Linked DNA regions of Diceros bicornis minor. The protein of the gene in region 3 interacts with the protein of the main gene of each other region in a pairwise test. Links are inferred from orthologs where the notes say so. Each region holds a gene or a part of one and is shown on either strand. Other genes may lie near its edges. The genes, in order: SUV39H2, CRADD, APPL2 and RAB22A.

Region 1 (7,925 bases), on a different chromosome or scaffold from region 3:
AATTTTTACGGTTTAGAATTTTAAACATTAAGAAGAGCTTTGCTTACTTTTAAGGTTCTTTTTATGTTACAGAAATATGAAATACTGAATTGAAGTTTGATTACGTCTCTTTTAAGGGGCTAGATATTGGCCTTACCTTTACTACCTTGTAGTCACACAAGTATTCCACCTCATAATTGTTTAGATTCCTTTTGGTGATTCCAATCGATTTACATGTGAGCTTTTCTTTTCTACATAATTCCTGAAGAGTATCAAGTGAAACTAGGCAAGGCACACACCAAGCTACAATAAGAAAATAGAATTCTTTACTAATGAAATAGCTACTCAATTAAAACAAAAGAAAAAAAAAAAAAGAAAAGGAAAAACTTAAGACCTCTATATTCCCACCCTTCAACTAGCAATTTTACAGGACTAAAAATTCATATGACAAGGAACCATTTATGTGTCTTCAAGAAAAAGTTAAGCCTTGAAGAACTATTTTGGTAAATTGTCGTCTTGGATTTTCTCATGGGTCTCTATTCTACTACGTTTAACTGATGTCAATTAATTTCTACTAAGCCACCTGAACAAAATGTTTCACGCCTGTAAGCTTTCTTAAGATTACACATAATATGATGCAAAAGTCAACAGAGATGTTTTTGACTTTTCCATTATATTCTACATAGAATATAATTGTTGTTTTAATAACTGTAGATCTCTAGGACATACTTATTACTGTTAGAAATATATCAAATATATTTTAAAACAATCTTATAATTTGTTAAAAAGTAACTTTTTCCCTTTCTCTTAGTTGGACAATAAACACTGAAATCTCATTGAAATACAGTTCTATAGTCAACATACTCGTACATCATATGTCCTACTTCTTCCACTTTGGAATGCTGCATGAAATTTTAATTCCACTTATTATTTTGCCCATGCTACAATGTATTATTATCAAGGTGAATAAACCCAAGAGTTAAAGTAAAATAATGGAGTATATTTATTTTCCTAATACTCATTTCCTGTATTGTTTTTAAAGCCAAGAATTACGAGTATTCAACGTACATAATCCATATACCAAGCTTGAAGAAAATCAGACACACTCATAATCAACCTTACCAAGCCACTGACTAATTGTGCTGCAGAAGATTTTACCCTCAAATTTCTGTAAACAGTATGCCACCATACTGCATATAAAATACGTTAACACAAACAGGTTTAGAAATATGTAATAAACTTGGTTTTATGGCTAGTGTTATGGGAAGCACTAGAGAGGATAAAGGGTCCTCTGCCTCAGCCTTTGCTAGGCCACCTAGCTACATGATCTTAGTGAGGTTTCAAACATCTTTCTGGGTTTCAGATTCACTGAAAAAAATGTGAGGGTTGGAGTAAATGGGGGTTACCAAAACAAAATCTCTCAGTAAACTCAAACTTTACGTGGTAGCTCTCCAAGGTAGATGTGGTAACCTTTTCTGTTTTGAGGTGATTTCCAGGGAACAGAGAACATAGCTCCTCTTACTATATCCTTTCCCGACCCTCCTCAACTCACACGCGGACTTCATTGTCAGAAACCCTGAAGCACGATTTCCACCACCCCCCTTCCCACAAAGGACTCATAATTCTAGACCAAGAAGTGAAACAACATTTTCCACCAAAAAATTTGGGGGAAGAGGTCGCTTGCTTTGGAGTGGTGGTTTGGGGTAGGAGAGTGGTAGAACAGCAACGACCCCTTAAATCCCTTCCATTTAAACAACTTCAGGATGTTTCGTGTCAATTTAACCTCACTGTGCTGATCACGTGCAAAGGAGCCTCCTGTTTTATCTACCCAAGGTGTATTTGTCTGCTGTTCCTACCATTTTTATCTAGCTGAAGTAACGTGAGGATTCAAGACACAACCCTCGACGGGAATGCTATTTTCGAGAATAAGAAAAACTGGAACATAAAAACTGCAAACACTTGGTAACAATTCCGATTGTCTATAAGAAGGTAGCCAAAGAATTCATTTGCAAGATTAAACATTGCATTACCACTACCACCACACTAGTTCACACTAACCCCTAGTGCAAGAAAAGTTTGGGGATTATGAGTTCATAATCTACGTGGAGAGGAGCAGTGCTGGAAAACACCTTTAAAATTCTAGAATGCATTGAAGGCTCCAGTCTTTCGGAGAGCGCGACACCGACACACACCCACTTTCAGTACCTAATTCTCTCGCATCCACATGAATAACATGCAAGTTCTTGGGGGGTATAAAAATGACCGTAAGCCAGAGACTATATGCTCAAATCCCACTTTCTAGGATATTCTCCAACGAGGGATTTAGCCTCCTAGTGCGTCCGAATTGGGGTATACCCTCACTTCCTTTCTCAGCGCCCATACTTCAGCCCCTTTCTTTTTTCCCTCTGGTCCTGAGCTCACATTTCCACCACTGGGTACCTCCGGATCCCGGCTGAGGCCAGCCCCCACCCCACACGCCCCGCTCGACCACCACAAAGGATCCAGCCACGCGCGTGCCCACAGGCCCGACCCCAGGGGATTACCCGGAGCCGCGGTGGTCGCCCGAACACCTCCGCACGGCGGCCAGGCGGGGAGGGGCGTCGGGCCCGCCGGGCAGCGGGGGCCGGGCCACCGAGTCGGCAGGACCTCGGCCGGGCGGGAGGGAGGCGCCCCCGGCGCCGGGCGCGCGGGCCGGGCGCCGCTGGTGCGGGGCGCAGGAGGAGACTGCCGGGAGCGGGCGGGCCGAGCCGCGAGAAGGGTCAGGGGCCGCGGGAAGGGGGGCGCCCATGTGGGGGCCGAGGTGTCAGCAGCGCGGGAGGCGGCGTGTCGCCGCGTCGCGCTCGGGCGGGCCCGCGGGTCCCGGCCCCGCTTCCCGGGCCTCGGGAGTTTGCCTAGAGCGCGGGGCACGGTGAGGGGCGCCTCACCTCCTCGCGCCTCGGCCGTCGCCATCTTGGGGAGCTTTCATTCAAACTGGCGCGGTCGGACCGGATAGCTCAGCGGGCCTGACGCCCCGCCCCCGCCCGGCACGCACTTGGAGTCGGGGGCCGGGGCTCCGGGCTGGAACCCGCGAGGCGTCCTGACGTCACCGGGGCCCGACCCCGGCCGCGGCGGCGAGCGCGCCTGCGCCCCACGTCGCATCCCGGCGCGCGTCCCCGAGGGGCGGGCTCTACGGGCGGGGGCGGGGCGCTCAGCCGGGCTCGCGCAGCGAGCCATTCCGGGCCGTACATCAGGCCTCCGCGGGCCTTTTCGTTCTTTTACACGGGCACTCCGTGCACACTGTACAAAATTCAGACCGTAGAGCGGAGCTGTATGGTGCAGAGTACGTTTCCCTCCCAGGCCTGTTCCTCAGCCACCTGAGCCCAACTGACCATTACGTTTCCTTCTCGTTCCTCCCCTGGATCCCAGGTTCTCAACACTGGCTGCGCGCTGGGATCACTTGGAGAGGTTTTGTTTTTTGGCCCCACTCGCGGAGACTGATGTCATGCGTATGGGGTGTGACCTGGGCACCGGAGGTTTAGAGCTCCCCAGGGGATTCTAGTGTGCAGCACAGTTTGAAACCACCGGTCCAGATCAGTGCTTCTCATACGTGAATGGGCACAGGAATCATCTGGGGATCTTGTTAAATAGCACATTCGAATTAGGTAGGTCTGGGCTGGGACCCGAGGTCTGCATTTCTGACGAGGTCCCAGGCTGTGCCCGATGCTTCGAGGTCGGGGGCCACACCTTGGTGGCAGGGCTGCGTAAGGCCCACGTCCGCTCCCCAGGACAACTCCAGGAGCTCTTAACTGGTCGCCACCCACCCCGCCCCCATCCAGTCTTCACACTGCATCCATGGTGACTGTTCTCAACAATCCAAAGCAGAAATCTTGGAAGACGAAATTGCGAAAACTTCAGTGGAAAGTCCTTTGATATCTACCAAGGATTTTTAAAAGAAATTTATGTAAAAAATTACAAAAATATTTCAAAGCATCATGTATAAATTTGAAACACTGGAAGTAAACACAGAACATTAAATTGATTCCCTTATGAAATACTGTCTAGCCATTAAAAAATGTTTATGAAGGCTTTAGTATTGGGGAAGTGTTTAATATGTTAAGCAAAACAAACAATAAAAATCTATAAAATACAGTTTCAACTATGTAAGAAACAATGTACTATAGGAAGATAAATATAAAACCTCTGGGGCACGATTTCCTTTTTGATCTGTGGTTTTTACATATTGAAGCATTTTCTATAATGAGCATCTTATTACCCTGATGATAAGGAATAAAGGTCCTATCCAGCCCTTTCACACGGAAGGCCCTTTGTGATATGGTGGTTCCTGTCCACTTCTCAAACCTCATTGCTAATAATTTCCTCCTATTCTAATTCGTCACTTCCTCGAATATTACCCATTTCCTGTCCCCAGGACTTCGGTCAATCCTGTTCTCTCTGCCTACAAAATGCCTACTTTTTCCCCATCTTTGCTAGGATTACTCCTACAGACCCTTTAAGACTTAGATAGAGCCTCACCTCCTTCCCAGGGCTTCTCTCCCCCCGCCCCTCCCCAAATGTACTCACCGCCCTCCTGGATATCCTAACAGCACCCCATGAGCATCCATCCTTACTCAATTTCTTTCTCAGTTTTCCTTCTACCTCCTTGGCCACTCTTGACTCCCCTTTTTGGCTCCTCTTCCTCTATCTGACCTAAATGCTGGTGTTCCTCAGGGCTTGGCCCCAAGACGTTTCTCTTCTGCTCTCTCCCTAAGTGACTGCCTCAATTCCCATGGATTTAAATATCATCTTTATGCTTAAGATTCTGTGTTTTGTCTCCAGCCCTGCCTGACCTCTGCCCTGAGTTCCAGACTTGAACATCCACAGTGCCTAGCTGACAGATCCCTTTAGGTGTTGCACAAACATCTCAAATTGAACATACTCCTAAAAATACCCTTCATTTTTGCCTCCAGATGTGGTCCTCTCCACTGCATGCCCCACAAACTTTCTCATCTCAATACAGTGGCACACCACCCACTCACTCTACAAGGAAATCTAGGTGTCATCTTGATTCACCCTCTCCTGATTCTCTAAGTTAATTCCATTAGCAAGTTGTGTCAATTCTATGTTCAAAATATACCTTGATTTGGCCTCTTTTCTCCATCACTACTGCTAATACCACCTTAGCACAGGCCGTCATTTCTCAACTGGAATCCTGAAAAAGCCTACCTGGTTTCACTTCCACTACTGCTCCCCTCCAATCATTTCCCATACAGCTGAAAAGTGACCTTAAAACATAAAGTGGAACACGTCCTTCTCCTGTTCTCAATACTTCCCAATGTACGTAGAATAAAATCCAAACCTCCGACGGCCTACACAGCCTTCTGTACCTGGAACCCTGCCTCCCCAACCTTCCTTTGTGCCATCCTCCCCTTTGCTCACTCTTCTCTAGGACTTTTTTCACTCATTCAGAAATCTTTGATTGTGCATCTCCTATGTGCCAGGCACTGTACATGGTGCTGGGAATATAACAGGGGACAAGAAAGAAAAAGACCCTGACCTCATAAAGCTTATATCCTAGCAGGAGGAGCAGGTAACAAGCAAGGAAATAAATAACTTTAGGAAACTCTCAATTACTTCCTAGTTCAGAGGACATGCTCCTCGCTTTCTTCATATGGCTACCTTTATGGGTCTCAGCTGAAATGTCACTTCTTCAGAGGCCTCTCCTGGTCACCCTATCTAAAGTAGGTACCTCCCGTCTTCCATTCTCTCTTCTTTGCACCCTTAAATGCACTTATCAAAATCTGCAGTTACCCTGTTTTTTGGGTCTTGATCAGTTTCAGTACACATTTACAGAATGAATGTATTAGACTCGTCTGTAAATCTACTGTTTCCTTTGTTTTTCTAGTCTTGAATCCCATTAATTCCAGGGGATAGATTAGGCCTTGTCTCTTCAACATGCATGACTGTGTATACTATCAAGGACAATGACTCGCAGAGTATGGTACAGGGACCCTGAGACCCTTCAGGGGGCTCATAATTTCAAAACTATTTTCATAATACTACCAAGATGCTATCTGCCTTCTTTACTCTCCTCTCACAAGTATACAGTGAAGTTTTCCAGAGGTTATACAATGTGGATATTGCAAGAGATTGAATGAAGAAGATACCAGAATAGAGCTATCTTCTTAAACCAGGTATTAAAAGAGATTTGAAAAAACATAAAATAACACTCTTGCCACTAAATTTTTGTTTTTGAAGTTATTTTTCATAAAAATGTTACTTAGGTTAACATGTAATGTTTTTTGTTATTTAAAAACGATTATTTAAAAAATCTCTTGGTTTTGATTTCTATATGGTAAATAACTATATAACTATATAACTATATATATATAACCAATACAAACACAAACTCTTTAGGTTCACGGTAATTTTTAAGAGTATAAAGGAGTCTTGAGACTAAAAAGGGTGAGGATCTTGGTAAACCCTGGCTCTAAATGGAGAGGGAAATCAAAAGCGACCGAGAGACACATACCAGGGTCCTCAAGGGGACAATACAGCATTATGCCTCCACCCCCCCGCCCAATTTTTTTCCATAAAAACCATTGAAAACATGATTTCTGGAGGTCCATGGAGAGTCTCCTATTCCATTTAATTAAAATAATGCACAAAATGTGCTCAGAATAGTAAGCGGTCAAGAAAACTTAAGTTTACAAAAAAAGCATCTGAATATTAGTTCAAAATTCACCATTTAGTTACTGTGAGACTTTGGATAAATTATTTAACTTCTCTGAATCTATTTCCACGTCTAGAACAAAATACACACCATACTACTCTCTACATATTACAACTACTCATGGAGCCGTGGTGAGATCACAATTAAAAAATGAGATAACTTAAAGGAAATAAACAGTAGTATTGTTATAAATGTTACACGGTCACTCATTGTTATTTTAGAAATCCTGACATTTTCCCATAGAACTTGTTTTGTGCTCTGATACTTTTTTTTTTTATCTTTAAAAGCTCTTACACAGATAAAAGCTTTCCGTTTGTGATGAAATATTTTGTGGCCTCCCAAGACTTTCACAGTATTATAGATAGGCATTTCTATTTTTATATTTGGCTCTGTCCTTTAGACAATGTCAGACATGTAAACAGGTAAAATTACAATTTCATATAAGCTTTTGCTGGTAAAAGTGAAGTTTTTAAATATATATGTGACACTACAAAGATAACTGGCAAGTGCATGAAAAGATTATCAAGATGTTCACCAAAAATATCTTAACAGTTGTTACTCTGGGTGGTAGAATATAGGATGTTTTATATTTTCTTCTTTTTTAATTTTATAATGAACATGTATCATTTTATAATCAGAAGAATGTTAAAGCTATTTTCACCTTAAAAAATAAAAAAACCCTAGAAAATTTAATTGGCAAATGCTCCACAAATTCAGAAGGAAAAAACTTAGTCACCTGAAGATATAAGGAAATTTGGGAGTATATTTCATTAGGCAACAAAGCACTTTTTTCTGAGGCAGATTCACCCTGCGCGAACATTCGTTGCCAATCTTCCTCTTTTTTTTGCTTGAGGAAGAGTGGCCCTGAGCTAACATCTATGCCAATCTTCCTTTATTTTGCATGTGGGATGCCACCACAGCACGGCTGGTGAACAATGTAGGCCGGTGCGCGGGATCCGAACCTGCGAACCCAGGCTGCAGAAGCGGAGGGCATAGAACTATAACCACTCAGCCACAGGGCCAGCTCCACAACAAAGCACTTTTGATGACAATGTGAAATTTGATATGTTTGGGGAAAAAATCATGCAAAGCTGACCAATGAAGTCAGAAGTGGTGGTATTTCTTTCCTTCTTTATTGTGTTTCTAACCAAACCATAAAATATGCAAAAGATATCTTTACTGGCCATTGTCCTGTAGGATACAAAGATGACATTGTTATGTTTTCTTCCATGTAATT
Region 2 (6,871 bases), about 9.6 Mb from region 3:
TTCAATGTTATTTATTCTGCTTTCAATAAACTGGTAGAAGTGTCTTAGATACTTTAGTTTGGCTTTATTCACACACCTGGAGTATTTAATTTTGTAAAGACAATCCAACCCAAGAATTCCTGTGGTCCTCAAAGGCCAGCTATTTTCAGTATTTCAAAAAAGCCTAAAACCTACATTTACCTATAATTTGGCCACAAGGGGAAATGAAAATATTTTTTCTTTTTCCACTGGGACTTTACTAGGCCTTCCTAAGTTAACTGGTTATCTTATGCTGATCAGATATTCAGACATATGTCATTAATAAAAATAGAAGAATTAATCAGGATTACTTAACACAGGTGGTCTGGAAAATCAATCAGAATATGAGGTCCATGCGGCAAAAATAATAAAGGTGGTCTTTTATTACTGGTATTTGTTTTTTAACCAGTTATATTGGTATTTAAAAAACAGCAACAGCAAAGTCGGGAGACCACTGACTTGGAGTAGTTTATCAAACTACTAGTTTGATAGTAGTGATAGTAGTTTGCTATCAAAAACTCCAGAGAATGTTGATTTCCTAAATCTGTTAAACACGCAAGTCAACTTTCAATTTTTTTTTCACCAATTCAGTTCTCTGCTCCTTAATCTTTGTAAAAAGGAAAAGTCATGGGAGGAGTTAAGAGGGAACAAGTGTTTCATATCATACCTTCTTCCTGTTACAAGCCAGGCTAACAGCACCAGAACTCTCTTTTCCATAGCTTCCAATTTTCCTTAAAATCAAAATGAGCCCCTCCTCAAACTACTGTCCTTACAAAACTAAATACTCCGGGTGTCTGAAGAAAGCCAAACTAACAAGGATGACTTGAAACCAATAACCTTTAAAAGCAAACTAAGTCAGCCTTCCAAATTATCCCCTCTAGCCATGGAGGGCAGCCCAGGGAACAGGTGTAAGGTGTGCCTTCCTAAAGGCTGTCTCCTCCTCTATGAACCTGACCTCTTCTTGCCGGCAGCTCTGGCACCCCATGAACCAGTTATCAGTAGGCCTAATGCCTGCTTTCCCATCTGCACTTTCCAATGGTCCTGATGCCAACGACCTGGCTCTTGGATGAGAACATGCCTCCCAAGTGACTTGCCAAGTTTCCCTGGAAGCATTTCTAAATGTATTCTCTGAGCTCCCTCCTGAACCTCTCAATCATGCTTCATCCTTCCTTCCTTCCCTGCACTTCCTAATTCCACCTCCTCATCCCGTCCCTCCAATGCCACGTGCCTTCAGTCCAAACTCCTTATTCACTTTCAGGAACCGCCATCCCCCTCCCAGCCTAAAACCCCAACTTCAAATCCAAAGGACACAGTTCCATCAATTCTGGAGCTCGTCTGAAGGCCTACCTGCAGGCAGCTCAGTTAGGGCTTCTTCTCTTGCCTTCTCCAGCTTCTCCCTCACCCAGGGAAATTCCTGCAGGGAATCTAGGAACGCATCAAATGCTTTAGGACCTCTGGAAGGTAGGATATCCAGCAGCAGCATTGTTTTCCGGAGGCCTGTGGCTTGAGCTTTGATTTCTTGAACGTGGTTTTCCGTCAAGACCCCTTCCTGGTAAAGATACTGAAGAACCAGGCCCTCCACCAGTACCTCTGCACCCAGCTCCAGGCGATGGGAGCGCAGCACTTGCTTGTCTCTAGCCTCCATTTCCTCCTGGGAAAAGACAAAATCCACAGCTCAGATTACAGGAATGCTGTTGAGCCCCTACAGATGGGGTCCTGCAATGTATGCTCCTTAAGGTCATGGATATCTTTGAATCTTACCAGAGTGCCAGGCCACGGTGTTTCATACACGGCTCTTGAGCCAAGCCAAATTAATTTCAAATGTTTCTAAACATAATGAACAACACTGAACATGAATTATCTTTTCTGTTTTTGCTTTCCACATAATGGGTCCTAGCTCAATTCCTTGTTCAATAAAGAGATCTGGAAAAACGTGAGGTCAGAGACCCTGCTTATAAAACAACTTGTATCTGAGGATTACAGAGCAGCATTTCATCTTAACACACTTGAGAAGAAACAGTGCTTTTATTTTAACATTGCCTTCATCAGAGATACCCCACCACCACAGAAACTGCCAGTACGCATACAGGTGCCCTTTGGACCACGGGCATTTTTAGAACCTGATCAGCAATGGGAGTGGGGCCAGAAACCTGCAGGTACCAAGAAGTTTAAGGATCATCTCCCCCATGAGAAAAGGCCTATACACCATCACGAAAAACATTTACTAGTGTTTGTGCCCAGTCTACAATAAACCTTATACATAGTCACAGACTCCATCCCTTCCCTCTAAGAATTCAGAATCTCCATCACAACACTGCCGTGGCCACACACATATGGGTCACTGAATGGGATTTTTTTTCTTAAAAAAAAAAAAAAAGTCCACAGGCCAGTCCCGGTCAGTGGCCAGCAGGACTGCCCGGCATATTTCCAAGACCACTGCACCAGGGAGCTGAGGGGCGGGGGTGTGGTGGCTATGAGGGTAAATAAGGGGAGGCGCGCCCCCCGCCCCTGTCCCTCCTAGCACCCTCTGCGAAGTCCGGGAGGTGGCAGGGGAGGAGGAGGATGCGCACTTCGGACTGCTAGCGCCCATGTGGAATTTCTCTTTATTCCCTGCCTCGCCAGCTGAAGCCCTCTTGTATTACGAAGAGAAAGAACTAGGAGAGATTTTCCGGGCAACCTGACTCGCTAAAAAGGGGGTGCTGGGAATGATCTTCAGAGCGGACCGAGGGCAGAGTGGATCCCCGGCACCCCCACCGCCACCCCACCCCGGGCCGGCTCTAGAACGCCGCCAGCAAGTTAGGGGGGGCGGGGGAGCCAAGCAGGGCCCAGGCTGCAGACGCCACGGCGCGGGACCTTGAAGAAAAGATGGATACGGGGTTTCTGGATTCCTGTTACTTACGTCTGCAAACACGTATCTTAGGGGAAAAAAAAAAAAAACTGCAACCGGAATCCAGACTGTTAGGGAACCTGTACCATAAGCGCCATCTTTGTTGAAGGCGAAAGCCCTGAACAGGAAGTATCGTCGCCATCTTTGTTGAGGGCAAACACAGGAAGTGCTGTAGCCATCTTTATTGGGGGCCCAAGTGTCAGACTGAAGCCCTTTCCGCCATGTTTGCTGTGGGTAAGCGATATAGCTGCCTGGAGATGGAAAATAGTTGCATCACTTAGGGGGTTATCTAAGCAAAGGAGTGATTGGATGATTGCTTTTTAACACAGTAACTCTACCAGTACCTTGCACACAATTGGCATAATAGATAGTCAGGTTTCAAAAGTCACCTTAATCAGCGAAGCCTTCCATGACCCCTCTATTTAAAATTGCAACACACTCGCATTCATTTCCTGCAGTCTCCTTCCCCTTTTCCAGCTTTATTTTTGTCTGTAGTATGTATCGCCATCTTACTAAAACTTTTGCTTAATCATTTATTTATCATCTGTTTCCCTTCACTAAAATGCAAGGTCATTTCTTTATATCACAGTGTGCCTGCCGGTAAATAGTTTACAAGTCAATCAGTCAGGATTCAGTTGCAGCCATCAGCTAGCTGCTCTAGACAGAAAGGGATTTGCCATAGGAAATTGGGGACATTCACAGTCATTGGAAAGGCTGGAAAAGGTCTGGGCATCCAAGGATGACTCCCTAAACAGCACTGCCAAACTGGCTCCTGGCCATAATCAGGAAGTTGGAGTCAGGAAGCCACCACTCCACAGTCCCAACCTTTTCTCGACACTGACAGAGCAAGTGACTGGACATTGGAATGCTCCTGCAGAAAAAACAAGGTCTCCACAGCTGTATTTGCCAGCAGCATCAAAACAGCATCTGCAGGGCCGGCCCTGTGGCTTAGCGGTTAAGTGTGTGCGCGCTGCTACTGGCAGCCCGGGGTTCTGATCCCCGGCGCGCACCGACACACCGCTTCTCCCCCCCGTGCTGAGGCCTCGTCCCACATACAGCAACTAGAAGGATGTGCAACTATGACATACCGCTGTCTACTGGGGCTTTGGGGAAAAAATAAAAGGAGGAGGTTTGGCAATAGATGTTAGCTCAGAGCCGGTCTTCCTCAGCGAAAAGAGGAGGATTAGCACGGATGTTAGCTCAGGGCTGATCTTCCTCACAAAAAAAAAAAAAACAAAAAAACAAAAAAAACCAGCATCTGCAAATCTTACTCTGATGCATGCAATTGGTGAAACCTAATTCACATGCAGAACATCAGCAGCGAGGGTGTGTGAGGCATGTAGTTTGGAGTTTTCCAGCTTCTGAAGCACAGAAAGACATGCTAAAAAGAGAGAGGGTCTAATACTGGGGGCCGATCTGCTGAGTTCACCACATTTTTAATTTGGAAGGCAAGACAAGTGCAAGATCCAAATATAGAGAGATAAAATAATGTCAAATTGAGGGTCCTTCCTCACATTTCTTTATGAAATGAGGCAATCAACAAATATTCATTGATTCACTTTTAAATCAATTGGGTGATATATACAGAAAGTCATTCACCTGCTAAAAGTTAGTTGACAGTAATAGACAAAACCCTCAAATATCGTTATTTCTATAGAGGTTTTCACAACCAACACCTCTAGTGGTGTTGATGTTTCATCATCAACAGTGATGAAACTAGTGAAGATGAAAATATCTTTGTAAGCAAATCAATGGAGAGCAATTCTAGACCTCCCTCCTCAAAACCTTCGAATTTTTGTAAACAGTTTAAAGTGTTACTATGCCAATATACCATTTTACTATACCAGCAGTGACAATATTTTTATATGGATGGCAAGTATTATTATTATGATTAGCATTTTACATATGTGAAGACTGAATCAAAGTGGGCAAGTGTCTTAGCCAAAATCTGACAGCTAATACATAGCAAAACCTGAATTCTAACCAGTTTCCTCTGATTTCATGCGCTTTCGAGTACACAGTACACCACACAGCCCTGTACGGTAAGAGTCTCTTGTTCTTATGACAGCCAAAATATCTGCAAATCATTCTGGTGCCACCTCTTACTCTTGGTACTTTTGAATTCCAGGTACTCTCTTCACTCTCTCCCTCTTCTTTTGTTTTGGAATTGCTGTCCTCTCCTGGGCGAGATTGCCCTCCTGTATGTAAACAAGTGTTAGCAACATTCTCTGTCTTCCTCCAGATAAAATGCAGACCTCTTGTGATACTACCCATAGCTGAGGTTACAGACTTTTAGGGGAGGAAAAACAAGTGTATTTTTTCCAACTGTAAACTTTGATAATTCTTAAACATATAGTAAAGTTGAAACAAGTAGCACAGAAAATAGCCAGCCATGTAAAACTACCTAATTTAAAACATCAACATTCTTGATGACTCGCTGTATTTAGAAAGGCTTGAGATCTCCTGGAAAATAGAAGAAGACATTGATGATGTCCAGGAGGAGGTAGAGAGCCAACAGTGTGTTCCATGACAGTTCACAGAAGAGAAGACAAGAGAGTGAGAGACAGCATGAGAAGAGTTAGTGCAGGAGCTGAGAGGCATGGAGTTCTAATGGTGAACAACCTGAGAGGTTGGCTATTAAGGATCTGACTTAAATCTACGGGTGAAGTTCTTGACCATGAAATTCTTCTTCCTATGGCAAATTTAGATGCACATCCATGCTGCCTCCTAAGCAACCATGCTGGGTTTCTGATTGACTAGCCAGCTGCCATCAGTCAGCTTGCTGGAGGACCACCACCCCGGGCTAGCATACAATGACACATCTGAGCAGCACACCAAAGATTCAGCCTCACTTATATAAATATCTAAGGCCAGCAAGCCCCGAGAGAATCAAAGACAGATCAGAATCACTATCACAGATGGTCACGCCTCCACTCTGTCCAGTCCCTCTCTGTGGGCTGGAATTGTGCCCCCACGGAGGATTAAGCACCTGTTACCCAGTGGTAACAAATCCATTTTTAGGAAGGACAGATATTTTCCTTTTTCTCTCTCCCCACCATATTTACTTGTGTCAAGATATACCCATTGTGAGTCTGCAAAAGAAAGAGTCAAAAAGAACAAGCATAGGGGCCAGCCCAGTGGTATAGTGGTTAAGTTAGCATGCTCTGCTTTGGACCCCCAGGGTTTGCAGGTTTGGATCCTGGGCGCAGGCCTATGCACTGCTTATCAAGCCATGCTGTGGCAGGCCTCCCACATATAAAGTAGAGGAAGATGGGCACGGGTGTTAGCCCAGGGCCAATCTTCCTCAGTAAAAAAAAAGAGGAGAATTGGCCACAGATGTTAGCTCGGGGCTAATCTTCCTCACCAAAAAAAAAAAAGAGAGAGAGAGAACAAATGTAGTGTTTTTCTGTCTTTCAGTTTGGTCTTTGGTTTTACAACCTTCAAAACAAAAATCAAAGGAGTTGGATATTTTTGGTTCTTCCTGTTTTACAGATGTGGAAATTAAGCCATGGAGAAAAACAGATTCTTTTCAAGCACACTTGAAACTGTTACAGAAATAGGTCATGAATCGAGTCTCAAAGAAACTTCAATAAATTCCAAAAAATCAATAGCACACAAACTATGTATCCTACCATTTTACAATAAAGTTAGAAATTTTAACAAAAGGATAGCTTCCATAAATCCCATACGTTTGGAAACTAGGTGCAACAAATCTTAAACTCTTGAGTTAAAAAAAAAGTCACATATTTCTATTGGCACAGCCACATGGAAAACAGTATGGAGATTCCTCAAGAACTTAAAAAAAGAACTATCATAAGATCCAGCAATCGCACTTCTGGGTATATATCCAACGGAAATGAAATCAGTACCTCGAAGACATATCTGTACTCCCATGTTCCTTGCAGCATTATACACAACAACCAAGTTATGGAATCAACCAAAGTGTACATCGACAGATGAATGGAT
Region 3 (7,455 bases):
TTATGCCAACTGCAAAGGAAACAAACAAACAAAAAACAAAAATCAAAACAAAACAGCAAGCAAAGTGCTTTTGTCTTCACCTTCTCTGAAAAGCACACTACTTACACACAAGAGAACAAGCCCCTGAAGTATGAGCGGCAGCAGCTCGAAGCTGCACCTGTGCTCCTATCACAGCAGTATTCCCACAGTACTGGAACTGCTGCTTTCCTTATCTGTCTTCCGGAACAGACTGTGAACCAGTGGAGGGCAGGCACTCTTATCTTGTGTGTCACTACCTTCCCAGCACCTAGCAGCACCTGGATAGGAGCAGAGGCTCGCAAACAGCCATGGAGACGAGCATCTCAATCCCTAAAACATTCTGCCTCTCATGTACCAGAGGCAACCAGAAATGACACGTGTATGCACGCAGACTAGTCTTAAACGTCGCCCAGTAATAAAAAGAGGGAAGTGAACAGATGTGTCTAAGGTCAGTCAACTGCTAGTCAGCTCTTCTTGGGTCACTGAGTTCAAACACAAAAGCTCTTGTGTCCATTTAACAAACCCTGCGCAACCAGGTTACTGGAGCAACCCTCATAACTACTCTACATAAAACTAGAGGAAACAAACAGTAGACAGTTTCTTAGGATCTTTTCCTTCTAGTGATACAACACTTTAGGTCACCAAGGACACAAAAGCCAAGTGCTAGGTAGCTGGGCTACAGGCAGACTGCCTTGGTTCCAGTGTATAACGTGGGCCAAGTTACTTAACTTCTGTGCTCCTTGGTAATTTTAATAGAGAACCTACTTCATAAGATTGTTGGGAGGATTAAGTGAGTTAATACAGGTAAAACATTTAGAACAGTGCCTGGCACATAAAATGCATGCGTGATACAGGTGTTTGCTATTGTTTTCATTCTTTACACATAAAACTAAGGAATTGGATTAGATTCCTTCCAGTTCCACGTCTGAGTCTACTTGGGAGTAAAGCCAAGTTAGGCACATGCCCCACACAAGAATGCTAAATAAATATGCTCTGATGATTATCAAAGACCTTCTTGCAAGTTAGCTTCCATTCAACAACCTCACCAAGAACCCTCGTAGGGTGACATCCAAGTCTCAAAAGCAATGACAAATTCCCTACATTAAGAACATTAAATAGGAATGACAATGCTTCTAACTCTCCTCTTCCACACACAAGCTCAAAATCATAAACCATGCAGATATGATAGAATTTTAAGTTTGTAAAGACCCTTAAAGATAATCTGCTCCATGTCCTTCATTCTGCAGATGAGAAAACGGTCACAAGGTGGGGACAAGCGACTTGCCCAAATCACATGGTAAGTCAGTGTTACAGCCAGAATTAGGACACAGGTCTCCTGACTTGTTTGCCAGTCCTCTTCCTGCTTCCTCACAGCTGAGCAAATACAGTAAACCACTCAGAAATAGTCCATATTCATTTATGGGAGAGCCAAAAATTCAGACTGGGACTCATTGGTGAGGGCAACATGGAGAATCAGTGCAACCTCTCTAACCTGGCTCAGCCATCACCATGTTGTTAGGAAAGCAATATATCATTGAGCCTCAGTTTCTCCAACTACAATGCAAACGCAAATCCTTGTTCAAAATGATATCATTAGAAATTCTAATTATCTTCAGATCCCAGACAATATATGTGAGGATGGATGAAATGACTTCTACCAAGGGCTTTGGTCCCACTAAAATGCCAGTAGTCTAGAGACTTCAAAGAGGCCTTTGAAAAGTTGATCAGACCAGTGGACACCAATTAAAAAAAAATCACAGCTTGCTTACTTTTTCTTACTTGCCTACGTGTAAGGAAGAACACAAAGAAACGGGCTCAAGGCTACTAAGCACACAGCCCTTCTGACTACTTATTCTGAACTGGAAAGACACAGAGTGGGTGTAGGATCGTCCTGGGAGGACAATCACTAAGAAAAAGGGAAGGAACCAAAGAGAGAAATGAAACTGTGCAAGGAAACAGGTTAATCTCATTCTAATTGTTTAAGAGTCAAGACAGTAGGGAATCAAGAGATTTATTGGAATAACTCAGGGATGCAGAACCACGAGAGCAGATATGAAGCTGGGGAAAGGTTAATGAAGGAGAACAAAGGTTCCCCGGGGAAAGGTGCACTGAATTATGAACTAAGGCCCTCTGCACTCATTTGCTCTATTTACACATCAGCTTTCATCCGCAGAGCTCAAAGGACTTGCCTCTCACCAGTGTGCTAATGAAGTTCTCCAGTGCGACAAATGGGGCAGGTATTGTAATCTTCTCTTCACAAATGGGAAAAGAGGGCCAAAGGGAGGCCTGGTACCGCTGGGAAAGAGATCCAGGCCCTGCCTCCCATTATGGCCTTAAATCCACCAGGTCCCATCACATCAGGAGTAGCAGTAATAATAATAAATAAGATTAACCCCTTACTCTGTTATCAGACACTGTCCGCTAACAACTTTACTGGCATTTCCTTATTTAATTCTAACGACTCGAAGAGGCAGGTACAATTATTATCCCTATTTTACAGATTACAAAACTGAGGCACGAAAAGATGAAACTATCTGCCCGAGGCACTCAGCTGCTCAGTGGTGGAGCCCGAGGTGAGGCCGGGCAGCCCCAGTTTCAGCTGCCGGGAAAAGAGGTCAGGACGCAAAGGCTCCGGCCGCGGGGGTGTCCCAGAGCTCTCCGGCTCTGCCTGAGGGATGTCCCCTCCTGAGTGTCCCGGGCTCAGGCCAGGGCCGGGCGCACTCCGTCCTCGCCTCCGCCGGGGCCCTGCTACTCCCTGCCTCCCCGCGGGGCTGGAGGGGCCTCCTCGGCCGCGAGGGAGACCGGAGCGGCGGGAGGTACCTGGGGGCTGTCCTGCAACGCCTCCTCTAGCAGGAGCTTGTCCACAGCGGGCATGGTGCCGCACGGCAGGGCCGAGGGCCGGTGGAAGGATGGAGGGCGGGAGTCGCGGCTGCCGAGGCTGCTCCAGGCTCAGGCGACGAGGCGGACGCTCCGTGCCCGCGGCCGCCCCGCGCACGCTCACGCCTGGCCAGTGGCCGCCGCCGCCCTCCCGCCGGCCCTCCTCTCCGCCCAGCCCTTGGCGGGGGCCGCATCAACAGGAAGTGTGGCGAGCGCCCGGCCGACCACCGGAAGTGTGGCGGTCCCACTTCCGGCGCGCCCGCGCCTGCGGGCCCCGCAGACCCTCCGGGCCAGCGCGTGGGGTGTTCAGCTCCGCGGTTCCGGAGCTTGGGTGCTTGTACCGGTCAATGCAAATACAGCCCAAGAAGGGGAACTCCAGGGCGGACTGATAAGGTTTTATCTATTTGTGGCTCCCCAGACCCAGAAAACTTTTGAATCGAAGGAGATAGGAGCGAACAGATTTGGCTGCTGTGACTCTCGCCACTTTTTTAACGGAAGGAAAACTACTTCCCACACCACTCTTTCTAGATAAATCTCAGCGCCCCTGGAACAGCTCTGAGAGCAGGAAGGTCACCTGATGCTAGAAAAAAATGGATAAGTGAATCATCTGTGATATTCAGAAGTAACCATTTGGGAAGCCACAACTATTTGGTTTAGGCAATATAATTAGGTCTCGTCCTCATGGTATGTTGTGTTTTGTCATTTTGGAAAATTTCATAATCCCGTTTGTAGATTGGAAGGGTTAGATGATCTAGTTCAGTGTTGTCGTTTAGAGATAAGAAGAGGGGACCCAGGGAGTGGAGTGAGTTGGTCAGGGTCAAACAGTTAATGAAAGCCAGAAGAGAAGGAAGGAAAGCGGGGGAGGGGGCGCTGGGGATACTGGCAAATGAAACTCCACTTCTTTTTATACCAAAGGCAAGGGTTACAGAAGTTCCTTCTTTAGGAATCAGTAAGATTTATCCAATAGGACACGTCACCAAAATCAACAGGCAGGGTATCATAAAATTATACAAATTCTATGTTCTGTAGAAATATCTAGGTATATTAAGGCACAATCTGAATTGCAGACACCTCTGAAAGTCTGATTACAGTCTACCTGATCACTTGAAAACTCCAAGGCTGTTGTTGCCAGTTGACGCTAGGCAGCACCAACCTTTCCTGAGCCATTGTATGGCCTCCAGGGGGAAGTCATCCAGCATCGTTTTCGCCATCATATTCTTTCTTCTTCTTCTTCTTCTTTTCTTTGTGAGGAAGATCAGCCCTGAGCTAAGATCCATGCCAATCCTCCTCTTTTTTTGCTGAGGAAGACTGGCCCTGGGCTAACATCTGTGCCCCACCTTCCTCCACTTTATATGGGATGCCGCCACAGCATGGCCTGACAAGCGACGTGTTGGTGCGCGCCAGGGATCCAAACCGCGGCCCAGCAGCAGCACAGCGCGCACTTAACCGCTTCGCCCCGGGGCAGACCCTCTTTCTTCTTCTTGGATAGAAACATGCGCACGCCATGTTTCTTCCTTTTCCTGTATTTTCTATCAAGGATCATTTCAGTTAACTTCACCTCGTACACTCTCTCAGCTCTCTCCTGACTGAAATCCTTTTCCACAAGGCCAGACCCAGGCTTTTCCTTCCTCCTTCCTGGCCCTAAAGATTACTCCCTTCTCTGAACAGCCATGACCTTGATTGTCATCCAACATGCCTTAGCCATAGTGCCTTTTCTTTCTATGTGTAGGTCTTTACTCCCACTGTAAATAGTAAGCCTTTCAAGAGCATAGCATGTCACCTTCCTTTTATTCTGAATACCGTGACACATGATAACAAACACAATGTTTGCTGTTTATGACATGCTCATCTGTTCCCACTAGAGCTCAGAAATCCCTTTGGGAATCGCCACATTTTTCATGTGCCACCTCGTCTTCTAATTAAAGTTACTTTTCCTCAAATACCAGTATTCAAAATTGTTTAAACCATGTTCTTACACAATGCCATTACTTTTCTGTGTTTTACTGCTACACTACAGACTAAATAACCTTAGTGGGATTTCTCAGCACTTAAGTATCATTTATAACATTGTGTGGGAAAATGCATCCCAAAATCAAAACAACTAAGTTACAAAAGTAACTCTGAGAATACAACACATTTGTAAACTGTTAATTTATTTCATTCACTAATTCATCCAACCATTCATTCATTTAATAAATATAGAGTATTCAATGTTAAGCACTGTCTCCCCTTATTTTCCTGTCTTTCACGACTAATATTTTGCTGTCTTTATTATGACTCTCATTTAAATTCTAAAGCCAAATGTCTTCCTCTTAAACAATCTGTGAGAAACTATGTACGAGGAATTTTTACGTAAACATGAGAAAATTTTAAAATGTTTCATTAAAAAGTATCTGCCCCTATTAAACTATTATGAGGGTGGGTTTTAAACATCCACCCAACTGTATCTGAAATCCTTGGACAGTTGTGAGGTTGGGCACAAGAAGTATAAAGATGAACAATTTAGAGTTGTCGTGTCCTCTGGGGAGAGAAAGGATGAACTCTCTGGCTGTAGCCTTTTACCCATTGAAGACCAACTGGGAGAAGGACACAGTGAAAAACAAACAGGTACTCAGGAGGGCTGGGTCGGAGAAAGCCTGGGGCTCTGGGAGTGAGAGAGGAAAGTAGGAATGAGGAAGGCATCTGTTTTGAGAAGATGCTTAGCAAACTGGATAGTAGAGTACCCACATTGTATGCACATTGGGATTCTTTCCTTTGCCCACAATGCCCTTTCTCCTGCTTCTCTGTCTGACAAGCCCAAACACAACCTTCAAATCACAGCTTAATGTGACTTTTTTTGTGAAGCCTTCATTCATTCCCATACCCCCAAGCAAAATAAATCTTCCTTTCCTTCTGTATGTTTCCATAGCACTTGGATAGATAATTCTAGAATAACATCTCTATTTGTTCCCACCCTTGACCTTCCAGCTAGAGTGAGCAGGAACTTTGTCTTCTTATTTCTGTAATTATAGTGATTAGTACATTACCTAGAACAAAAGGAGTTGCTTGACAAATACTTATTAAAATGTAATGTATGTTACTATTTCTTACACGTTAGTACTCCAGAGTTTAAAAAGTGATTTCACGAATCTCATTTCATTTGATACTATAGTGCTCTGAGTTTTTTCAGGCATTCACTATTTAGCATCTACTATATGGTAGATGCTCCTCTAGAGGCTGAGAATGTAGCCTGAAGCAAACAGAAGTCCCTGCCTTAATGGAGTTTATATTCTACTAGGGAGAGAATAATAAACAAATACAAATTGATAAGCATATGATAATGTTTAGTAAAGGAAGAGAGAATGATGGGAAGTGGGGATAATCAGGAAGGATTTGTGGAGGTAGCCGACATTGGAGCTGAGAATTGAATAAGGTTAGCAGGCAAGCCAAGCCTGAAGGGAAGAGCAGGTGGAAAGGCCCTGAGGCAGGCACAGGCTGACTAGTTTGAGGAAGTGCAGAAAGGCCAGTGTGGCTGGAGTAGAGTGAGGCAGGGAAGAATGGGAGGAGATGAGCTTGAAGAGGTGCCAAGCACCAGATCACAGAGGACCTTTAGTCCATGAGAAGGACTAAAGGTCTAAATATAGCAGGAAGCTGTTCTAAATATGAGAGCTGAGTGACAGGGTCCGACTTACATTTTTTTGTGTGTGTGTGTGAGGAAGATCAGCCCTGAGCTAACATCCGTGCTAATCCTCCTCTTTTTGCTGAGGAAGACCGGCTCTGAGCTAACATCCATTGCCAATCCTCCTCCCTTCCCCCCCCCCCCCAAAGCCCCAGCAGATAGTTGTATGTCATAGTTGCACATCCTTCTAGTTGCTGTATGTGGGACGCGGCCTCAGCATGGCCGGAGAAGCGGTGTGTCGGTGCGCGCCCGGGATCTGAACCCGGGCCACCAGCAGCGGAGCGCGCGCACTTACCCGCTAAGCCACAGGGCCGGCCCCCGACTTACATTTTTAAAGAATCTCTCTGGGTTCTGAGGAAGCTATTGCAATCACTGGAGCAAGAAATTTCAAGGTCTAGGTCAAAGTCTAGGGTAGTGGTAGAAATGGTGAGAAGTAGTTGAAACCTGGACATATTTTGAAAGTAGACCTGAGAGAATATGCTGGATGTAGGGTGTGAGAGAAAGAGAAAAAGCATGTGGGAAAACGGTCCTGTGATTTATTGAGATGGGAAACACTAGGGGAGGAGCAGGTTGGTGGTGGTGGCATCAACCATGCTGTTTGAGATGCTTTTTAGACATCCAAGTAGAGGTGTCACATGGGTACTTGAATATGCCACTCTGGAGTTTGGGGGAGAGACAAGGGCTGAGAGTATAAGTCTGGAAGTTCACTAGCAAGTGAGTAGTATTTAAATCATAGGAGTGGATGAAATTTCTTAGGGATTGAGTACAGATAGGAAAGAGGAGAGGTTGGAGGACTGATCCCCAAGAAAGTTCCAGCAGCTAATGAGGTATGAGGAAAATCAGGAGACTATTAAACCATCCTAGAAGCCTAATGAGTAGGAAAATTAGAAGCAATACCATCC
Region 4 (7,392 bases), on a different chromosome or scaffold from region 3:
GTGCCCGGGATTTGAACCGGGGAACCCCGGGCTGCCAAAGCGGAGTGCCTGATCTTAACCACTACGCCACTGGGCCAGCCCCCTAGTAATTCTTAATATAACGGTAATTCTTTTTTTTTTTTGTGAGGGAGATTAGCCCTGAGCTAACATCCGATGCCAATCCTCCTCTTTTTGCTGAGGAAGATTGGCCCTGGGTTAACATCCATGCCCATCTTCCTCTACTTTATATGGGACACCGCCACAGCATGGCGTGACAAGTGGTGCATCGGTGCGCGCCCAAGATCCGAACCCGCAAACCCCAGGCCCCCAAAGCAGAGCGCTCGCACTTAACTGCTACGCCACCAGACTGGCTCCTAATGGTAATTCTTAATATAATCTAATACCCAGTCCAAGCTCAATTTTCCCCAACTGTCTCAATAATGTCTTTTTATAGCTGGTTTGTTCAACTAAGGATCCAAATACGACCACATATTGTATTTTGTTTATAGGTCTCTTAGGTCTCTTTATATCTGCAATAGATTCCTCTCATTTTTTTTCACCCACCACTGGCATACACTTAAATTCTAATTGGCCAAGCAAATCATACCCAGAGTAATACCTCTTCAGCCTCCACATGCTCTATGCAAACCCAGATATTCACAGGCCTTTGAGCCCCTTAGGCACAGACTCATACAGCTCTACCTTCCCCGCACGATCCACCACCAGGACCAATACGCGAGGCCATCCCACACACTTTCTGATCTCAAGAAAAGGAATTTAGATTGCTTCAGCAAGCTAATTCTCTAAAATTAAATCTCTTCTGCACTGCAATGGCCAAAAGACTCTGAATGAGTTAAAAAAACAAGGCATCCATTCATTATCGCTTCTTTTCGAAGTTAGCCAAATTTAATTAACAATCACAAAGTAAATCAGACAAGCCTCATAATCCATTATCGGTACTAGTGACGTTAACTGAACACCTACATCATGCAGGACATTGGGTCATAAAAAAGATGACCTGTGTCCCTGTCTAAAGGCGACTTATAGCCTAAATGGAGCAGTTATCACATTCACATCATTTAGACAAAAATGCCCAAGGAAGACAACAAAGAACCACCCAAACTGACATCCAGGCCCCTACCATTAGGTTAAGAATATTCGTGAAGTCGATCTGTGTGGTGAAATAAAAAGAACAAGAGTCAGAAGGAACAGAGTTTGATTGCTAGTTCTATCATTTATGAGCTGTGCCACACTGGATAGGTTACTTAACCTCTCTGATTTTCAGTTTTATCATCTGTAAAATAGGAATAATCCCACGTACCTCACAGAGTAGCAGCTTTTAAAGAAAAAATGAATGAGAAAATCTTATATGAAAGCCTAGTAAGAATGGTGATGATTAAAATAATAAAAATAATAAAATCATTGAATATAATACTCATTACGCCAGGTGCTGGGCTAAAATGTTTTATGTGTACTATCTCATCTAATCCTCACATCAGTCCTACGAAGCATTTCCTATTCTTACGCCATCTTCCAGATGAAGAAACTGAACAGAGTGAGTGAGTGATCTGCCCAAGCTGACACAGCTAAAGCAGAAAGTGGGTCACAGGAACTCACTGTTCTTGCTGTCAATCACGGTATGATAATGCCTGCCTCCCAAATACCACCCCAGTAAGGCATAGAGGTGAGACCCAGGCCCTCATACTGTGGCTATTACATCAATTATATTGTAAAGTCATAAGGTACAGCATCCCGCAGCCCCAACCCCTGCTCAAACAGGAAGCCCCAGGAGGCTCCCAGAGCTGCCCTACCCAAGGTGTGGGTACTTTCAGAACCATAACGGTGGTTTCCTTCGTTACCTGGGCAAGACTTCAGTCGTCTGCTAAAGAGTATTTAAGGCCTTCTTGATTACAAGTCTCAAACACCCAGTATTTGTTCAAACAGGGCCAAAGTAAAATCATAATGATTTTTTCCTATATAATCTCTTACTTCCTTTCTGTACATATACACAAAAAAGACTGAAGGAAGCTAGCCGCAGGGAAAAAGGTCCAACTGCCGGCAGGTGCCATGCTTTGAGCAGCCCAACCTAGCCAAGTGGAGAAGGCTGCTGGAGAGAGCTGAGGCCGCGGCCAACCATCCCCGCAGATCTCCTGGCCGACAGGCACGTGAGTGAAGCCTCTTCGGACCTTCTCACCTCCCCAGAGTTCAACTTAGAACACGAGAAGCTTCTGTATCACCCAGTTAACCCACAGAATTGTTAGAAATAATAAAATGCTGTTGGTTTAAGCCACTAAGTTTTGGGGTGGTTTGTTAGGTAACTGAAACAGCCAGAAATCTGCTTTTCCAGCTAGGCCAAATATTAAATCTATGAATGAGAGATGCCTTAACAGCAGCTCACCGTTGTTGATGAATAGAAACACTACATTCCTTCCAGTCGAGGATGCCCACTGGCTTAAACATTCAGCTCTGTAAACCCGGGGGGCCTACACTGTTCCTGGCTCAACAGTGTTAAATAAATACGAATAATGATCACATTAATAAAAATTATAACGGCAGCTAATCTTTACTAAGTGTTTCTTACAGACAAGGCTTCGCGCTAAACCTTTTATGCACTTAACCTCCACAAAAGCCTTTTGAGGTGGACCCCTATTATGCCCTTTTTATAGATGAGGCCACTGAGGCTCAGAGTGGTACAGTGACTTGGCCAGGATCACACAGCGGATAAAGAGTGGCCCAGGACTTCACTCTCTGACCATCTGACTCCAGAACCTGTGCTCCTAAACAATCGACTTTATTGTCTCTTCAAGTGTCACTCCACTTTAATAAAGTTGCTCCGTCTAAAAGAGATAATGTGTGTAAAGGGTTTACACCTGTGCCCGACCTGTGGCAAGTTTTCAAAATACACCCACTCTTATTATTAGGAAACTGGTAGATGGGAAGGGAAGAGCATAGCAAGCCCTGATTAACACTAGCCATTTTGATGGTCTGTACAGGCCTCCTTCACCAGCAAGCATGCCCGGGGTTTGGTAATTTTCTGTTTAGAAGTCTGCTCTCCCCCTGGCCAGTGAGCTCCCTGAGGGCTGCCCCTGTTTCTGGTTCATCTTTGTAGGTCCAGGATCCGGCAGGTGACCTGGCCCAGAACAAGTAGGTGCTCAAGAAACTGCTGAATGAATGGGAAGGAAATGCTTCACTCACCACAATGGGAACCTGCATTGCCAGGGTGACATCTCCCCCGGCCATCGGTTCTTAAAGGGATTCCAACGGGAAGGAGAGGGCAGGAAGTGAGAGGGGATGGAGACCCACCCGGGAAATGCGGGCGCCAACGGGCTCCTTGGGATGAGAGATGGAGCTGGGCTGGTGGGCAGGACACCTGAGAAATCTGTGCCACTCTGTGGCCGGCCACACGGAGAGCCAGACCTCCCAAGTCCCCAGAACTCTGACAGTCCCGGGGGACAGTGGAGACCCCGGGGGGAAGCCCCCCCGACCCGTGGCCGGAGTCACCAGGACTCGCCGCCGCCGGGCCGCCGCGGGGCGGGGGAGGAGGAGGAGGAGGAGGAAAGTGCCAGGAAGTCAGAAGTTTCCCCACAACAGAAATCCTCCCCTGCCGTCCTCGGCCAGACCTCCCCTCCCGTGAGGACGGACCGCCACAAGTGGATCAAGGCAGCTGGGGGTCCCGCTCTCCTGTCCCAACACGGAGGGCCTAGCCGGTAGCTCCCCGCTCGAGTGCCGTGCACCCCGAATTCTGTGGGATGCTCCCAGGGAGGGGCGGGGGCGCCCCAACTGTTACTTACAATCGTCTAAGTCATCCTGCAAGTCCACAAAGTACAGGGGGATCTCTGAAAACCAAGAGACACACAGGGGTTACGAGGGGGCCGCGGCGGGCGGGCTCAGGTGAGGGCGGGGGTCCCCGTCCTCGCCGGGTGGTCCCGGCTGGGGGAGGGGGTGCCCCGGAGCCCGGCCCCACTCACCCGCCATCTTGGGATGGGCATGGAGGCGGGGCCGGGGGCGAGGGGCGGGGCCTCGGGCGAAAGGCCCCGCCTCCGGGCCCGCCCCGCGGCCAGCGCGTCCCGGAGAGCCTCGCGGCGCCGGCCCGGCCCCGCCCTCGCGGCGAAGGTGGCTGCCGAGGTGGGCGGGGAGGTCAGGTGACCCGGCCGGCGTCCCAAGATGGCGGCGGCAGCGGCGCCCGGGAGGCCGCGGCACCATCCCGGCTGTTGAGGCGGCTCCCGCGCGGCTGGCGGCGGACAGGCCGGGCCGAGGGCCCGCGAACGGGCGGCCGCCGTCTCTGCGCGCCCCGCGGCCGGGGCTGGGCCGTGCGGCGGCGGCGGCGGCGGCGCCGGGGGATGCTCGTGCTGGGCCCGGCCTCTCCCTCCTCCACTTAGGGCGGCGGCGCGCCCGCGCCCCTGGCTGCCGGGCCATGGCGCTGAGGGAACTCAAAGTGTGTCTGCTGGGGGTGAGTGGCGGCGGGCCGGCCGGGCGGGCCGCGGGAGGCCGGGCGGCCGGGGACCCCGGCGTGCCCACGTCCCCTCCGCCCCTTCCCCCCGCCTCCGCGCGGGACGCCGCCTACCTGCCCCGGGTCCCTCCATCCTGCCCACCTTGCCGCACCCTCCTGAAGGTCCTGTTGGCAGGAGGGGCCCTCCCTTTTCCCCTCCCTGGAGCCCAAGGACTCTTCCCGCCCCCTAAAGGGTGAAGAGCCCTCGCTGTCTCTCTATTGCATCTAGGTTAAGAGCAGCTCTTAAATAGTGTCCTACCAAGGTACTAGTTAGGAGTTGGCCAGGTCTTCCGAAGTGAAACCAGTGACAGGTCTTTAGGTTTTAAAGCAGCAGTAGTCTCCTTTCCCATCTGTTTGGTGTTTTTGAACTTGTGGGATACCCCTGACACTTTTCGCAGAGTTGCTTTCCTGCGAGGCGGGGCGGGGGGGGGGGGGGGTGACGTGCAAATCAGGAAGCTCCAAAGACTAGTTTGAAGCTCCAGCTTCCTGTCTTGTCAGGGCAACTTTCCCATTTCAAAGCAGGCTTTCAGAAGTTGATGCTCTCTTGCTTGAGTTGCTGCTTTAAAGACTGAAAAAGATCCAGGAAAGTCTTCCCCCTTCCCAAATAGGGCGGAGCTGGGATTTACTGGGAATTACTCAGAAGTAATTCGAGAGTTCGTAGTTTACTTATACATGTTAAGAAGTGAGTTTGTCACTTTTCACACTAAGTAGAAACTTTGAGTCTTTCAAAAGGTCCTAAGGTCTCTTAAAAACTGCAAAACCCCCTCCTAGGATACATTTTGAAATCTCCTAATTACTCCCACTGAATTTTTATGAAAACCTTCTTTACATCCCTTAACTTATAAAATTTACCTATCTAGAGTGATTTTTATAAAATCCTGAACTTATGGCACAAAGTAGTTTTCAGTGTCTGCAAGCAGGTAAACTTTTTCTAATTCGCCCATGTCGTTCTCTTTCAGGATACAGGTGTAGGTAAATCGAGTATTGTATGGCGCTTCGTGGAAGACAGTTTTGATCCGAACATCAACCCAACAATAGGGTAAGAGATTAAGTTTACTGAATATATGTCTATAGGTGTATTGAGAGTCTTTCCAAGTAAAAAGTTTGTTACAGGGGTAGGCATGGTTGTTTTACACTCTAGTGACTTCGGAGACAGTGGTTCCCATCATCTCTGGAAAGACTTTGAAAGAATACACTGAAGGTTGGTGTGTTTTAGAAAAATTATCTTTTGATTTGTGAGGAGTGAAAACTTGAAAATGAAAATATGAATTCAAGTTTTACTTATTAGAATATACATGGAACCTTCTATCTATATCTATCAACAGCAGTTACACCTTGAAATAAGGCAAAAGAAAACAGATTCTGATACTATTGTTTCAGGCATGTCAACTAAAAGGTATTTAGATGGTTTTAGTTCTTCCTGAAAAGTAGGAGGATGGGATCCAAACCCTTCTCACACATTACTGCACTAGTAGTAATAATGAATTAATACATTATTGTTGAAATCTAAGATTTTTTCAGTGTCTAGTTCTTTGAATAAGTAAAATTGGTTGGCTATAGGTTTTCAACTCTGTGAGAAAACTTTTTGGTATTTAAATATCGTAACATTAATACTTTCTCTGTGAGAAGCTGTGTTTTATAGATTTTAATACAGTTAGATTTGTAAAACTACATAGCTGCTATGCTGTTTTTATTGCAAACCTCCAAGCAAATGGTTTCTTCCATTTAAAGAAGAATTCTATTCTGCCTAATAGAGAAATATTTTATGGCATACACATACACATTTGAAGGCATGGAGATGAAACCACTACTAACTTTCTGAAATTAAAATGCCTTTCAGTATCCCTCGAGGAAGAACTAGGTATGTCCACATGTTTAAAGCATGAGCTCATCCTCCTCAGGGCCTGCGTTGTCGCTACCTGCCTGGGAAAGTGAAGTGACAGGAAGTGATAGCAAGTAGTGCTAGTGACTCAATGAGTGACACGCTTCCCACCGAGTCAGAACTAAAAACACAGCTCTGAAATACCCAAAAGTCACCTTGGTTAGAAGTGCTCTATCAGATAAGGAGACAGGAAAATGAAGGGTATAGCTCCAGCAGTCATGGTGAGGCCTGCAGCCCTGTCCTGGGCGTCCCCTCCTCCCTGTGTGCCAGCCCTCCCAGCCTGACAGATGCTGGGGTTTGTCCCACTCGCCTCACCGGGCAGTCTTGGCTCACATTCCACAGGAAAGAGCAATGTGGGGCTTTTGCCCCCTTTCCTTCCACCTTCCCATATTTCTTTTTCCTCAGCCTCAGCAAGTGTCTTCCTCCTTCATGACCAGGTACCTACACACCTGAGCTCTGGAGCCCCCCTCGTCACCAGTTCTCACCTGTCTTCCCCAGCCCTGCCTTCTGGTCATAGCCTGCAAATATGGTCCTAATCTACCTGCTCCACTAAGTCAGCGTCGTTCCCCAAGCCTGCCACACAAATTGTGGAGCTCGCGAAAGGGAGGTCACTACTTCCTTGACTGCTGCTCCCTCCTCAGCCCACTCTCATCCCGATTCCACTCCACCGTGCCACTAAAACCATCTTCCCTGGGTACCAGCTTCTATCGCGTTACCAAAACCAATGGCTTTTTTTTCTTTATTCATTCATTAAGTGCCCACCGTATTCCAGGGGCTAGACAGGCTGCTGGTGATTTAGACCAGGGGTCAGCAAACTATGGCCCTTTGGCCCACCTCCTGTTTTTGTAAATAAAGCTTTATTGAAACACAGTTACACCTGTTCATTTACATATTGTCTCCACTGCTTTTGGGCTACAGTGGCAGAGTTGAATAGTTGTGACTAAGACCCTATGGCCTGCAAAGCCGAAAATATTTACTCTTTGGCCCTTTTCAGAAAAAGTTTGCCAATGCCTGCTTTAGATAAACGCTGTCCTGCCCCCAG

What was found.
Region 1: the proteins of APPL2 (region 3) and SUV39H2 interact in binary tests that used the Homo sapiens proteins (3 or more experiments, as listed by UniProt). The link is inferred for Diceros bicornis minor from reciprocal best matches to the Homo sapiens genes APPL2 and SUV39H2.
Region 2: the proteins of APPL2 (region 3) and CRADD interact in binary tests that used the Homo sapiens proteins (3 or more experiments, as listed by UniProt). The two-hybrid records come from large-scale screens. The link is inferred for Diceros bicornis minor from reciprocal best matches to the Homo sapiens genes APPL2 and CRADD.
Region 4: the proteins of APPL2 (region 3) and RAB22A interact in binary tests that used the Homo sapiens proteins (3 or more experiments, as listed by UniProt). The two-hybrid records come from large-scale screens. The link is inferred for Diceros bicornis minor from reciprocal best matches to the Homo sapiens genes APPL2 and RAB22A.

Annotation. Positions count from the first base shown.
Region 1 is NC_080775.1:15,426,385-15,434,309, reverse strand, and holds the start of SUV39H2 (histone-lysine N-methyltransferase SUV39H2), read right to left. Parts: upstream 3,014-7,925; 5' UTR 2,929-3,013; coding exon 2,904-2,928; intron 2,875-2,903; exon of another isoform or gene 2,523-2,874; intron 283-2,522; coding exon 137-282; intron 1-136. UniProt on the Homo sapiens protein: Histone methyltransferase that specifically trimethylates 'Lys-9' of histone H3 using monomethylated H3 'Lys-9' as substrate.
Region 2 is NC_080764.1:28,287,134-28,294,004, forward strand, and holds the start of CRADD (death domain-containing protein CRADD), read right to left. Parts: upstream 3,009-6,871; 5' UTR 2,918-3,008; intron 1,670-2,917; 5' UTR 1,664-1,669; coding exon 1,366-1,663; intron 1-1,365. UniProt on the Homo sapiens protein: Adapter protein that associates with PIDD1 and the caspase CASP2 to form the PIDDosome, a complex that activates CASP2 and triggers apoptosis.
Region 3 is NC_080764.1:18,726,871-18,734,325, reverse strand, and holds the start of APPL2 (DCC-interacting protein 13-beta), read right to left. Parts: upstream 3,014-7,455; 5' UTR 2,893-3,013; coding exon 2,839-2,892; intron 1-2,838. UniProt on the Homo sapiens protein: Multifunctional adapter protein that binds to various membrane receptors, nuclear factors and signaling proteins to regulate many processes, such as cell proliferation, immune response, endosomal trafficking and cell metabolism.
Region 4 is NC_080758.1:5,347,419-5,354,810, reverse strand, and holds the start of RAB22A (ras-related protein Rab-22A), read left to right. Parts: upstream 1-4,393; coding exon 4,394-4,429; intron 4,430-5,427; coding exon 5,428-5,507; intron 5,508-7,392. UniProt on the Homo sapiens protein: Plays a role in endocytosis and intracellular protein transport. Mediates trafficking of TF from early endosomes to recycling endosomes. Required for NGF-mediated endocytosis of NTRK1, and subsequent neurite outgrowth.